2 linked regions of the Saccharomyces cerevisiae S288C genome follow. Changing the gene in region 1 together with any one later gene gives a genetic interaction. Each region holds a gene or a part of one and is shown in the gene's direction. Other genes may lie near its edges. The genes, in order: VPH2 and PHO86.

Evidence for each region.
Region 2: mutations in VPH2 (region 1) and PHO86 together harm fitness more than expected from each alone (negative genetic interaction), as found in Saccharomyces cerevisiae (2 studies listed by BioGRID).

What each region holds. Positions count from the first base shown.
Region 1 is NC_001143.9:215,536-223,250, reverse strand, and holds VPH2 (Vph2p), read left to right. Parts: upstream 1-4,033; coding exon 4,034-4,681; downstream 4,682-7,715. Other genes in the region: serine/threonine protein kinase PRR1, read left to right, coding at 351-1,907; Hsp90 cochaperone SBA1, read right to left, coding at 2,277-2,927; OAC1 (Oac1p), read right to left, coding at 4,933-5,907; DGR2 (Dgr2p), read right to left, coding at 6,551-7,715. UniProt on the Saccharomyces cerevisiae protein: Required for vacuolar ATPase assembly.
Region 2 is NC_001142.9:189,249-197,160, forward strand, and holds PHO86 (Pho86p), read left to right. Parts: upstream 1-3,282; coding exon 3,283-4,218; downstream 4,219-7,912. Other genes in the region: DUF5427 domain-containing protein MTC1, read right to left, coding at 1-192; ALB1 (Alb1p), read left to right, coding at 468-995; ribulose-phosphate 3-epimerase RPE1, read right to left, coding at 1,126-1,842; YJL118W (uncharacterized protein), read left to right, coding at 2,391-3,050; SUN family protein NCA3, read right to left, coding at 4,612-5,625; nucleosome assembly factor ASF1, read left to right, coding at 7,039-7,878.

The sequences.
Region 1 (7,715 bases):
TTTCATAGAAACTACTTACTTGGTTTATAGATGTTTCGCGTTGCGTTACAGAATAAGGCAGCCTTTTTTTTTTTTAGATTTTCATTTTTCACATACTGATGGATTAGCAGACGAAAAGGGTAAAGTTAAATACATTCCAGTAAATGAACTAAGAAGGCTGAGCACACCATCCTCTTATGGAACGTTATTCCTAAGCATAGAAAGTTTTTTACTTGTAATCTTCAACGCGGGGTGTGTTCTTTATCTTTTTTTTCTTTTTTACACAATTAGACAAGTATATTTTGAGATAGTAATCACATCTACGCTTCGAATTCATCCATACCCACAGCAGCTGTTAGGTTATACCGACAATGGATGAATATAGTAGTATATATTCACAACCAAAGACTCCTCGGTTGAAACAAGAAGGATTTCCCGACTCCATTGGCGATCAACACGAAAAGGCATTGATTGATGAAAATGGTGAGGAAGATAAAAAAATGGCATCCACTGAAGGGACCACTGGTGATTCTCGCAGTACACCTTTGACTGTATCTATTCCGACGTTTGAAAATGTCCAAGCATTACCTACACCGATGACCTACACTCCGTTATCCCCAGGCAATCTGTCAATGTCACCTATAGATCAATCCTCGTTGAATATACCCAAAAGACGAAGTCATGCACGATTACTGGATGATATGCTTTCTGTTACACAACCAAACCAAAGAGTTGTTTCTGAACTTATTGCACCAGCTAATTTATCCCCCCAAAGGGTTGTTTCCTTACCAACAGTGACTGAAGAGGCTTTAGTAAATGATTCTGTTGATAGTGATAACTACACGAAAGAACCTTATTTTCCCGAAAGTAGTAGTTCTACCGAAAAGTGTGACGATGATATATTTCAGGGATTTCTTTTAGATCACTGGGATCGCCCGTTATTATGGAAAAAGGTCAGGCCCATTGGTTCAGGAAATTTTAGTACCGTACTTTTATATGAACTCATGGACCAAAGCAATCCTAAACTGAAACAAGTGGCCGTTAAACGACTCAAATATCCCGAGGAATTATCAAATGTTGAACAAATCAATACATCGTTACGATATAAGGAAACTTTATCCCGTTTGGAAAATTCTCTGACTAGGGAATTGCAGGTGCTAAAATCACTAAATCACCCATGTATAGTTAAACTACTTGGGATAAACAATCCAATTTTTGTTACTAGCAAAAAACCTTTATGCGATTTGATTATAAAAACTCCAAGAGCTCTGCCGCCTTGTGATATGATTATGTCTTATTGTCCTGCAGGAGACTTATTAGCTGCCGTCATGGCCCGTAACGGAAGACTAGAAGCGTGGCTGATTCAAAGGATTTTTACGGAAGTAGTACTGGCAGTAAAATATTTGCACGAAAACAGTATTATTCATCGGGACCTAAAATTAGAGAATATACTACTGAAATATAGTTTTGATGATATCAACAGTTTTAGGGACTCACCCATTTACTGCAAGCAAAATTTCATTGAGCTAGCAGATTTTGGTCTCTGCAAAAAAATTGAGAACAATGAGATGTGTACAGCAAGATGTGGATCAGAGGATTATGTCTCACCAGAAATCCTGATGGGAGTTCCCTACGATGGCCATTTAAGCGACACGTGGGCCTTAGGTGTCATACTATACAGCTTGTTTGAGGACAGATTACCATTTGACCCTCCTCCAAACGCTTCAGCAAGACAGCGTAGCAGAGCTACGTCACATCGTATTGCCAGGTTTGATTGGAGATGGTACCGGTTAAGCGATTATAAAACTAATGTGGGAAAACAGATTGTGGAAAATACGCTAACGAGGAAGAACCAACGTTGGTCGATTAATGAAATTTACGAATCCCCCTTCGTTAAAACGATCGCTGATACTCTAAGTTTTTCTTGAAATTTCCCACGGATGGGAGTTACTTTCGTTTTCTTTCTTATTGCTTACACCTGATAATCATCCAGCATATAGAAATTGTTCTTTAAATATCACATACAGTTCCATTACTTGACATTTGCAACATAATATTTCTGCTTTTTTCTCTATTTTGCATCCAATATAGCTTCTATCTGCTTACTACTGTCTTTTTGACAATGTACAATATATATCTAAGATAGTTACGAATAAAAATATTTTTATTAATTCCATAATATTTAATTACATAGAGGCAGCCAATAACAAACAGGTAAAGAGTTGTGTAAAGTGCATATATTCGTCTTTTATTCTAAGTTACTCATTCTAGCACTCCAGGTTGATTTGCTCCTCCTTTTAAGCTTTCACTTCCGGCTCTATTTCCTCTTCTTCATCTTCTTCATCGTTTTCTTTGAAATCTCCCATGTCCAAATTACCACCGCTTTGAGCCAATAATTGCTGCAATTGAGCCATATCTGGAGAACCAGCGCCACCAGCACCTCCCATCATTTGGCTGAAGTCCATGCCTCCAGCACCTCCAGCACCTCCAGCACCTCCCATCATTTGGCTGAAATCCATTCCTTGAGCGGCATCATTACCTTCAGCTTCAACTTCGTCTTGTTCATCTTCATCAACCCATTTATCGAAATCAGTTTTGATGTAAGGGTACTTCACCTTTTCCTTTGTCAAACGTGGCCAGTATTCAGATTCTAAATCCTTTTTATACAATTTCAAAAAGTAGTGCTGGCCATTAGCAACCTTATGCATTGTTTTTTCAGGTATAATTTCCTTGTATAGATCAATGTGTAATTGATAATGATGGACATTTTCATCGCCAACATGAGGCTTTGATTGAGCCTTTAATTCGATGTATGATGGCTTAATGGTTAACTCAGGGGCATCACAGTCTGCAATTGACACAGTTATTAAGACATAATTTCTTTCTGGATCAGTAGTACTAGACCTTTGAGCCCATGCAACTTGAGGGTTAATAACTTTATCGGACATGACTATTATGAATCGATGATCTTGGGAACTTGTTGTTGTAATGAATTGAGTCCACTAGGTTTCTCGAACAAGTTAATACATTGCCACCCATTTCGTCTTTTTATGCTTTTTTCCATGCTAATTCTTGCCGCTCCTCTCCGCCCCTTCAAAAACACTCGGAAGGCGGGTAGCATTAAAAGTCGAACAGTTTGTTGGTAACTTTTGTAGGTATATGTGTACCAATAACCACAAATTAAGTATTGATTATCACAGTCAACCTCTTTGTATATCAAAAATTATACTCTGTATTCATAAAAGGCAGTTATTTTAAAAGCAAGTAACGGCAGGAAAAAAATTATTAATAAGTATAAAAAGATTGGACGAGTCCGGAATCGAACCGGAGACCTCTCCCATGCTAAGGGAGCGCGCTACCGACTACGCCACACGCCCTATTTACTGTTAGTGTATTTCCACTTAGATTACTATAACAAGCTCTTTTAAACAATAAAACAGTTCTATAACAACCGATTTACGAAATTCTTCTGAGTAAATGAGGTCACAAATGAACTTTCTTTAACTTCCTCTTTGTCTCCATTCGTTTTTCCATGCTTTTTTTGTTTCTGTCGAAATGAAATCCTTGTATCATCTATTGGCTAGTATTCGTCTTCCTAGAATATTATCACAGCGGTGTAAGATGATGACATAGAGATTGGGAAACAGTTATCGGTCTTAATGGAAGCTGAAATGCAAGGATTGATAACGTGATAGGGTAATGAATGGCAAAGTATAGAAGAAAAGAAGTTAGAGTAATATTATCATGTAGAAAGACCGATTCCATTTTGAGGTTTCCTATACCCTCGAGGGGAACTTTTAGGATATTCTGTGTATCTCATACTATAGTCTTTAACTATGATTGAATCCGAACAATTATATTGTTCACGAAATACTCAGTTTTACAAAAATCTTGTGTATTTAACTGACTCAAAGTAGACATGACGGACGTGTGAATATTTAAAATGAGAAACGAGGAAGCGAAAATAAAGCAAATCTCACATGAAAACGCTGAAAGAAATGAAGAAAAGGTAAGATAGGATAATTGACGATTGGCATCACATAAAAGAACTCTAATGTTCGAAATTAAACTGAATGATAGAATAACTGAATTTCTGCGAAAGTTCAAGAATAGCGCGAAATCAAACGAAGGAATTGATGAGGACATTGATTTGTTCCTGAAGCGACACGCAATACCTATGCAGTCACTTCTTTTTTATGTGAAAGAGTATAGAAAAGACAGTGATCTCCAATGCTCTATCAAAGAACTTTTGAAACCTTTGGAGTTCGAATTCAAGCCCAAGGCCGTCAGAGGTTTACACTATTCAGAGGATTTCAAGAAAAAATTAGAGTTTTTGAAATATCAGGAACAAGAACTTGAATATCAAAGTATGGTCAAGAGAAGCAAGTCTGTCTTTTCACTTCAAGAAGACGATGAACTCACGCCTTCACAAATTAATAAACAGATTAAGGAACAAGTTACCACTGTTTTCAACGTTCTTGTAAGTGTCATATCGGTTGTTGTGGCCATTTGGTACTGGACCGGATCTTCAACAAACTTTCCGGTCCATGTTCGTCTTTTGTTGTGCTTGTTCTTTGGAATATTGGTCTTAGTAGCAGATGTGGTTGTGTATAACAGCTATCTGAAAAAACTCGAAGAAGCAAAAGTAAAAGAAAAAACAAAGGTTGAGAAAAAGAAAGTTCTAAGCAAGATTACACTGTAACTGATCATTTTATAAATAAGAACTCCGAGATCCGAGAGCATATAATTCTTGGAACTGGACAATTGTGAATAATGTTCTGTATGTTTATAATTACGTTTATAAAACTATCGTGTATGAATGTGAAATAAAAAATGCTCTATTATCCTTAATGCTACATAATATGAAGAAAAAGGTTGTAATGAAACCATTAGTAAAGTAGAACTGTCCTGGCCAATGAATGAAACTTCAAACCTCGGAGTTTGTTATGGGAATTAATTATGGCCTAAAACTCTCGACTCTATCGAATAAACTAGTTTCATTGTCTGTTCCATGAAGGTCAAACACATGATTGTATGAGGTGCGATTCTGAACACTTGAGCTGCAAAACCCTTATACAAAGCGGTTACACCTTCGATTCTAACAGTTTTGACCAAACAATCTATAGGTCCCTTGTACAAGTCACCTTTTTGATTATAGATTCTTGTCAAAATGACATCCCATGGGTTCATAACGACGGCAACACCTAACCCAGAGATAGTACTAGCAGTTAAATGTAATGCTGGGCCATCTTTCATCAGATCATTTTTGACCAAAATGTTCTTTGCTGTGTTGTAGATAGGTAGTTGAACAGAGGAACCAGCACCTGTCCTTAAAATTGCCGCATCAATACCTCTGAATAGACCCTTAACACCTTCGGTTTTAAAAATGGTTACTAACCCGTTCCAAACACCGGTGTAGTGCGTTTGTTCACCAATTTTTATAAACTCGGAATATGATTGAAGTCTTGTTTTCACCAAGAATAATGGAGAGCCAATGACTGCACCAATTATACCAGATGCGGCACCAGAAAAGACGTTAACTCCGACGCTCTGTACCTTATGTGGCTCTTGATCTGGGAAGAAAAGCTGATTTAATGATGATCTGATTGGCTCATAAAACCCTAATCTGGAACCATTTAGCCCAATTTGATAGATATAAGCAGCATTTAACCCTTTTTGCAGACCTTTTATACCTTCGTTTTTGAAAATTACCGCCATACCTTGGATTGGATTTTTATAAACTTTTGCAGCTGATGCTGACATTTCACCTTGAAGCTGCATTCTGATTTTAATCAATTCGATCGGATTAGTAACTGTAACAGCTATACATGCTGCTAGCCCACCAGCCACAAACGAACCAAACTTCGATATCTTCTGGGCGGCTGTTTTTTCAATTTGTTTATCTTGTTTAGAGTTGTCAGATGACATATTTGCTTACGATATAATTCGATGAGATGTGCTTGTGTCTGACTTGCTATAGCAATCTAAGGAAAACTATTTCGGATGGAGTTCTGGAGTGGGGGCATTATGGAAGAAGAAAGTATATCTTAATGTTGCATATAATCACATAGTTTATATATATGCAGTATTTATCATTTGACGACTTAGTCACAGCTTGAAATTTCAGCGGTGCTTAATGTTCGTTTTCTTTTTTTTTTTTTTTTCCGCAACAGAAGGCCGATTCCGCTGTAACTTAATGAGGTATTAAATGCCAGATTCGTTTTCGTGACCTCCTTTAGCATATCGGCAGACCCTGACTCGCAACTGGAATAACACCACATGCGAACAAAAGCATATTTTTGCCCTACTTAATTTGAGAGTGGAAAATCTTTCCTCGATTTCATTTTTCTTATAGCCCAATTGACGTCTCTGTAGGCCCTAATAGACCCCATCGGCCTAAGACCGTTTCCGGCATCTTTCGGGTTGTAGATGGTTCTGTGAGAAAATGTGTCAGTAATGAAAAATAATAAAGATCGCTACAGATATAAATAATAATACTATGTTATTTGCAGACATGCTTATGATCTAAAGACGGTGGAACAGATAGTTTTTCCTCTTACTTTCTGATTCTCTATCTGAAATTATTGAGGATTGTACCACAATCAGCACACGTGAAACCGCTATCACCGCCAGCAATGGGGTTTTTGGAAGCACATTCAAAATTAGATCCATTGCAGACGTCACATTTCAACTTCGGATAAGTGGTAGAAACTCTCGGAATATCATGCGGTCCAAACACCGTGGAGCTCGTACTTTCACTTCTTGACTTTAGGGATATAAAACTTCCATTGGATTTATTAAAGATCGAATTCTTGAAAATAGCACTAGCTCTTGATGGCATGCCGGAAATCACCGGGCTATTATTAGGATGCAGCTCACAAAAATCGTGGCTTGGCCTACTATTGTGCGTGTTAGATGGTGGGGTTGTGCTAAACTCATTATCCTCTGTGGAACTTCTTTCATCCATTCTATTTTCCAATATGCTGTCATTGTTGTGGTTGTTGATTTTACCAGCAGCTTCGAGGTGGAATAAATTGTATTCATGGAACTTTTCTATTATTTTTTTTCGTATTTCCGGTAAGATATCAGTTCTGAAAACACGGATTAGACCTTGACTGTCTGTTGTTATTAGAATGGTTCCAACATTATTCACAACGTTCGATAGGTTTGAGCTGAATCCTCCTGTTTCTGTAACTGGGTGATTAGGTTTGTTATCACATGTTTCCTTAGATTCTGAATAATTTTGGCCCATTTCTTTGAAGTACTGTGAAGTCAGTTCGAAAATCAAATCGTTTGACAAGGACAAATTTTTAATTGCAACGTCGGGAGCAATGGAAGCACATGTGACAGGGGAGTTATGGGCATGAAATGATATATAATGATTGTTTTTGATAGCTTGAGAACCAACAGTTTGAGTTTGAAGAACATTTTTTGATGAGTTGGTAAATGTGTGTGAGCTGCTTTGGTTTGACGTTTCTGTCAAACATTCATCATTCGTACTCTTATTAGATACAATTCTCAACAGCCCTTTTAAACTCATACTGCCGCTCAGCCGTTTCTTTCTATGCGGAGCAGTGCAATTCATTTCTGCTGAAAGATTAAAGGACTGCATTTTCCAGGTATAAAACCAATGATCATCACTTCCCGTGAAAACTACAGGTTCATTTTTCATCATTAGGAATTGGCCTCTATGACGTGAGGAACCACTTTGGAATCCTTTAAAAAGCTCTAAAGGT
Region 2 (7,912 bases), on another chromosome or scaffold:
TTCAAAGATATCATCGTCACCTTTCTTTCCATCATTCCCGGTCTTGCCCGCCACAGAATTAGAACCTCCCTTAACGCCTTCTTGGCTACCCTTTACGTCAGTATTAACCATTTTCCCGCCATTCTTTGCTTCTGGCAAAGAATCTAAAAATTCAAATACGTCTTCAGCCTCAGAGTTCTTATTTTCAGACATTTTGCCCTGGTAGTATGTATGTTTTTAATCGATTGAGTCTAGTTAACCTGTCCCTTGTTCTATTCTTCACCGTCTCGTCCAACTTCCATCAAAGAACCAGAAACCAGAAAATCGCCGGTTTCTTCCACGCGTCAATCCGTTTGGAATGATCTCATCGCAAAATTTTTTTTCGCTAAAATTTTCATAGAGAGTATCAATATTAATATATGGTTATAACTTATGGCGGCATTAGTCGATGAGGTGCTTGCCGAAGAGACTAGCACAGCCAACCCATAATGCCTTCTAAAAACTCCATCAACAGACCTAAGCTGACTTCAAATTTGCACCACAAGGTGCACTCTTTAAATAAGAAAAGAGCTCAAAGAGAAAGAGCTGGTCTCTTGAAGCCAGCTAGATCCAGCGTAAATTCGAAATCTGGGGAAATAAAATCAGTAGCGTTGGACCTATACTTCCAAAACAAGAAGAACGAAAGTCAGAATTCCACTGCTGTGACATTACAAAATGCTTCATCTTCTCCGGCCTCCATCACCACGAGGACACTTTCCAAAAAGAGAGCTAAGAAAATCGAGAGAAACTTAAAATATGCTACACAGAGAAAATTATTGGTTGACGCAAGCGCTAAGCTAGAAGACGAAATGGATATTGATCTAGATGGCGGTAAGAAAGTGAAAGAGAATGAAAAGAAGAGTTCTTTGACTTTGGTTAAGGAAGCCTTATGGAGTGTCATTGACGATACTGCATCCCAGGGATTGATCATCGAAAACGGACAAGGCACCACCCTGGGCGGCCCATTTTTCCCATGAGTTAGGCACTTACGTATCTTGTATAGTAGGAATGGCTCGGTTTATGTATATTAGGAGATCAAAACGAGAAAAAAATACCATATCGTATAGTATAGAGAGTATAAATATAAGAAATGCCGCATATGTACAACTAATCTAGCAAATCTCTAGAACGCAATTCCTTCGAGACTTCTTCTTTCATGAAGGAGATAACATCGTGCGGGTCAGCTGCAGTGAAAACACTGGTACCAGCGACAATAACGTTGGCACCGGCTTTGGCGGCTTTCGGGATGGTCTCCTTGCCCAAACCACCATCGACTTGGATATTCAAATGGGGGAACTTGGCTCTCAAAGTTTCCACTTTTGGCATCATGTCTTCCATGAATTTTTGGCCTCCAAACCCAGGTTCCACAGTCATAACAAGAGCCATATCCAAATGAGGAGCTAGTTCAAATAAAACGTCAACAGAAGTACCAGGTTTGATGGCGCATGCAGCTTTGATGCCCTTAGACTTAATCAACTTAACTAAATGCAAAGGGTCTTGTGTGGCCTCGTAGTGGAACGTAAATTGGTCAGCACCACATTTAGCAAAATCGTCGACCCATTTTTCAGGATTTTCAACCATCATGTGACAATCGAAGAACGCAGTGGGCTTCTTTTCTGTGTTGCTAGCATCGCCAGGGCGTGGCACAGAACGACGTAGGGAGGTAACAATTGGTTGGCCCAGAGTAATGTTTGGAACAAAATGGCCGTCCATGACATCGATATGTAACCAATCTGCGCCGGCGTTGATGACCTTATGACATTCGCAACCCAAGTTGGCGAAGTCAGAAGCAAGGATACTGGGAGCTATAATTGGTTTGACCATTTTTTCTTGTGTGTTTACCTCGCTCTTGGAATTAGCAAATGGCCTTCTTGCATGAAATTGTATCGAGTTTGCTTTATTTTTCTTTTTACGGGCGGATTCTTTCTATTCTGGCTTTCCTATAACAGAGATCATGAAAGAAGTTCCAGCTTACGGATCAAGAAAGTACCTATACATATACAAAAATCTGATTACTTTCCCAGCTCGACTTGGATAGCTGTTCTTGTTTTCTCTTGGCGACACATTTTTTGTTTCTGAAGCCACGTCCTGCTTTATAAGAGGACATTTAAAGTTGCAGGACTTGAATGCAATTACCGGAAGAAGCAACCAACCGGCATGGTTCAGCATACAATACACATTTGATTAGAAAAGCAGAGAATAAATAGACATGATACCTCTCTTTTTATCCTCTGCAGCGTATTATTGTTTATTCCACGCAGGCATCGGTCGTTGGCTGTTGTTATGTCTCAGATAAGCGCGTTTGTTATGCGAAAAAAAAAAACTTTACAGAGGCTTTGTTTATATATAGAAAGACCACGAAAAAAACAGTGATGGCTTCATGCTTTTCAGTTTCATTATTGGCACGAGTAGCAGTCGTTGAGCCCATCAGAGTGCAACTTTGGTTAAATGTCGTAAATTGTATGATTGAATCATCCATGCACCAATGTCCTCCACGGGATCGCCACTTTTTTTCTTCATCACGCCCCATTTTGTTGATCCGACGTTCTGTATCAACTGTATACAGATTCGTTGCTTCTCGCACCACACAGGTTTTACGTGCGGCCAAGACCGTTGTCAAGTGGTTCATTATTGTCGACCCACTGATAAATTCTATTCTAATCAATTATCTCATTGATAGGCTCTGCACTCTTGGGCATGCTGTATTGCGAGTGAAAAAGCGCAAGACCGAGGAGAGACAACCCTGTTCTCCCATTATACAACACACACACGTTAAGAGACGCAAACGGCCTCGTCTGAGGATCGTAGCCATCAAGAGGAAGCGGAGGCGTCGAAGACCACATCGCATCGAGCGTCCACTCTCAAATATGTACCCAATAATGGAAATCCAGATGGTGGCTGTTCCACTTGCTCTTCCCAGTCCAACTGCACTGGTGCATTATCAGCAGCAGCAACAGCAGCTCCCGCAACATCATCCCTGGTACGACCTCTCGCTTTCTGAAGAAGCCCTCTCGACCTGCTGTTGTAGTTGACCTATAACTGAAAATTCACACCCGCATTACCCAGCGCGCCCGCACGTGCTCTTTATGGAAACTATAATGAATAACGACCAAAGAACATCTTTTTTTCTCTCTCACACAAATAAAGCTTTTCATGTTTATAGATATATAGCACATACTTTTACTAAGTTTTCTAGATTGATTACGACTCTTCCAGTTGCACATTTTTTCATAGCGAAAGTACAAGAGTAGGAAGAGTGGCACAATGGCGGTTCAACAAAGAAAGAAGAAAGAGGGTAGAAAGTCCGATAAAAATGCCCCATCGGTCCCACAAGTAGATGCATCATTAGACAAACCACTTGATATTGATGCTCCTCCTACTATTTACAGTGTTAATTTGAAACCAGAATATGGTACAGCTGCATTGAATTTGTCCGCGGATTTCATCAGACAAGAACAGGCATTGGCTAATAAGTATTTGTTCTTCCATCCCGTCATCCTTGTTGTTCTAACCATTGGGCTGCTTATTTACTTGACGCCAAGAATTGTCTTTCCGATAAGGAATACAGGATCCGTTGCTGGATGGTTCTACCAGCTGGCTCGTATTAATAAGAAGGTCGTCCTCAGCGGTTTAGTGTTCACCGCAATTGGTGCATCTTTCTTGTTCACCCTCCTCTCACGTGTATCTGACTCGTATTTCAAGTCGAAGATCAACCAACTTGTTGGTTCTAAAGGTGAGAAAGTTTTCGGCATCAATTTGAATGATTTGGTGGCAAGACATGAAACAAAGGATCCAGTGGTGAACAATACGCATATCATCGTTTATAGAGAAACGCCCATTGCATTGATTTCGTTAGCCCCTAACATGACATTAAGTACTGATGAAAATTTAGTCATGAGTGTTACTACTGTGGGTTGTCGTCGTGTATATGTAAAAAGTGGCATTATCGAAGATTTGATTGATTGGGCTATGCTACACTCCAAAAATATTAGAAGCAGCGGCAAATACGGGGAGACCATGAAACTCTTGATTGATGTCTACTCATTCGATAGCACGCTTAAGGAAATTTTGAAGAAAAAAGGGTTCACTTATATTCAAAGCATTAGAGTCTCTGAAAATCGACTACTAGGCGGTTTGTTCGGTGTGAAGAAGGAATTATGGGGTTTGCAATTCCATTTTAAAGCCGAACACAAGGACTAGGATACTGTTATTTTTATAGCCAAAAAATGAAAAAAAACAGCATGGCATCTTGTTAGTTCTGTTGCAACTCGCAGGAAGTAACAAAATAAACACTATAATATTTCCATATATTTATATATATGTATACAAACACCTTGTTAACAAAAAAAAAATAAACGAACTAAAGAAAACCGTAATGCAGAGTACACCTTGAAGAGAGAGAAAAGAAAATCTTTGAATCCATAGCATAATAGCGATCAACGAAACTTTTTAAGAAGTAAAATGAACTGAAAGGAGAAAAATATAACGGAATCCCAATGTATAATAATAAATAGAGAGCGGAAGAAAAAGAATAATAAGGGGAATTGAGGGTATCAAAATACAAGACATTCTTTTACCGAAAAGAAGAATGACTTAATAGAAAACAAATTCAGCAGATCCAGATAAAACAGAAACTGTGCAACCATCGGAACCATCTCCGGTGAAAGAGCCATCTTCATACGCACAGCTGCCCTGAACGTTAGCGCCATCGGATGCAACTATTTTAACGTTAAAGTTGGCAGCTTGGTTACTGTTGGGGTTTGGAATCAACGACAAGTATGTTTCTCCATTAGTGGAACCAGCACCTAACACTAGTGGAGCCCAGTTGCCGACATCCGAACCAGAAGTACCCCAAATGCACCCATCTTCTGCAGATACACCGGCGTTGTTAATATAGTACTGAGCAGAAGTCTTTTTACCCTGCCATTGATAATAAGTGTCTTCATCAACGACTGAAATTGGTTGTGAATCTCCACCATCAACCACTGTGGGAATCACCATGTTTTCTGATCCTGGGTAATCCGTCCTACATAGAGCAATGGAGTCAGACTTTTTGTTAATGGCCTTAGCAGATGTTTCATCCGTAGAACATAAATCGCTGGTATCAGTGTTGGTACGGTACAAGTAACCATTTTTACAGTAAAGACCACCAACAGATTTACCATCGCTTGGTTGGTCAGAAGGCCATTGAGTCTTTGACATTCCAGGTTCACATGCATAAGAACAGTAGTAGCCATCCTTACATTCGGACGAAGTGTTGGCATCCATGTCCATGACAGAGGCCCATCCACCAAATCCTAGCCAGTCCAAGGAAACTATACCGTTTACAGAAGGGAAGTCCGAACATTTGACAGTACCATCTTGGAATCCGCCATCACGCTTCTGTTCAGAGGTATCCTTCTCAGATGAGGACAATGTAGTGGTAGTAGCAGCAGATTCTACAGTACTAGTAGCGGCATTGGAATCTATGTATTGAGTGACAGTGACAACCGCTGGTTTTTCATCTTTGTGATGATCTTCATGGTGACTGTCCGCTGGAGCAGGTGCAGGGGCAGAAAATGCGACAGAAGAAAGGGAAGACAATATTAAAGCTGCGGAAATTTTCATTATGTGTTAGAGAGAGACGAGTTAAGTATGTGCGACTATACTAGTATTATAATATTAAAGGAAAGTAAGGTACCGTCTATGAGGAGACTGTTAGTTGGATATCAGTAATGAGACGAAAAAGCTCGAAATGAATGGATATATTCTTTTTGCTACTGGCAACTGTTGAATATTTAATGTTAAAACAAACTAACTGAGGTATATTCGTATCTGTATGTACACATATACTATATACAGGAAAAGATAAGCAAGAGAGAGGATATCAACTACGAGAGCGATCGATTATATATCAAAAGCTGTCCGCTTTGCCACCCATAATCGGCGCTTAGTTTCGGAGTTCAATCATAATTCTACCACCTTACACTCAACTTACTCTTTAACTCCTATAGTATAATATCGCCACTGACCCCATATTAAAAAAATTTTTTTGCTCGATCTTCTATCCTCTTTAGGTTAATTGTCGCTGTTATTGTCTAGATTTTTTCTCGGAGATGGCGCATCTATTTGCCGTCAAAAGATCCTCTCATACCATATTAAGTAAATTGCCTCCATTTCTTTTTCCTCGGGCAGAGAAACTCGCAGGCAACTTGCTCTCGAAGTGGTCACGTGCGGGTCTAGGCCTGCATAATCGGCCCTCACAGAGGGATCCCGTTACCCATCTATGCTGAAGATTTATCATACTATTCCTCCGCTCGTTTCTTTTTTCAGTGAGGTGTGTCGTGAAAGAAAACCCACAATTAAACTTTCAACAACCGGGCGACTAGGAAGAGAGTAGTGGGCGCGGATGACGAAGGCTAAGGTCACTTCTTCGTTTCCTTTATTGGGGTTTCCGTGTAGCCTTCCCCTGAATAGTGTGGGACGTTTTATGAGAAGCCGTAAGAAATAGGCAAATTGAGTTATGACAAGTAGACATGATGCCGCAGCCTTGCCTGACTTTACGTCTCCTTCATGAATAAGTTTTTCTATCGAGTTCTTTTCCTTTTTTCGCCTTAATTAGCTCAATTAAGCCTGTCCTCACTACTTTTCTTTTTCTTATCGGCTTTGTGCCACACCTAACCTTCGAATGCTGTTTTATTCCGTTCTTACATGGGATGGTAATGCCTTGGCGAGAATTTCGATTTTCAGGATATTGTCTTGGTGGCGTCTTTTGCTGTTACTATGTGTTTAAGAGAGAGCTGTTCTACAAAGAACTTTTCATTTACGCGTTTTTTCCTTTTTTTTTTTTTCTCATCCTAAACGCGTAAATCTGTTCCCTTTTTCATGTAATGGGCGTACAACCGACGATGGAAAAATGAATCTTGCAATTTTAATACTAACACTTGGAATAACTCCAAACAGGTAAGAGGCTCACAGAATCTCGAAAGTGTAACAGCGTACTCTCCCTACCATCCAATTGAAACATAAGATATAGAAAAGATGTCAATTGTTTCACTGTTAGGCATCAAAGTCTTAAACAACCCGGCAAAGTTCACTGATCCATATGAGTTTGAAATCACTTTTGAATGCTTAGAATCTTTAAAACATGACTTAGAGTGGAAACTAACCTATGTTGGGTCCTCTCGTTCTCTAGACCATGACCAGGAATTGGATTCCATTCTGGTAGGCCCCGTTCCCGTAGGTGTTAATAAATTTGTGTTTTCTGCTGACCCTCCCTCCGCCGAGCTGATTCCTGCGAGTGAATTGGTTAGTGTGACTGTTATTCTATTAAGTTGTTCTTATGACGGGAGAGAGTTTGTTAGGGTCGGTTACTACGTGAATAATGAGTACGATGAAGAAGAGTTAAGAGAAAATCCGCCAGCAAAGGTACAAGTAGATCATATTGTAAGAAATATACTGGCTGAAAAGCCAAGGGTAACAAGGTTTAACATTGTTTGGGATAATGAAAATGAAGGGGATTTATACCCACCTGAACAGCCCGGCGTAGATGATGAAGAGGAGGAGGACGATGAAGAAGAAGATGACGATGAAGATGATGAAGACGACGAAGATGACGATCAAGAAGATGGAGAGGGAGAGGCGGAAGAAGCGGCAGAGGAGGAAGAAGAGGAGGAAGAGAAGACTGAAGACAACGAAACGAATCTTGAAGAAGAGGAGGAAGACATAGAAAATAGTGACGGCGATGAGGAAGAAGGAGAAGAAGAGGTGGGGTCTGTAGACAAGAATGAAGATGGTAATGATAAGAAGAGGAGGAAAATAGAAGGGGGGTCCACGGATATTGAATCCACTCCAAAGGATGCGGCACGTTCAACGAATTAAGAATTTATGGGTTATAAGATTAATGGTACCTGCA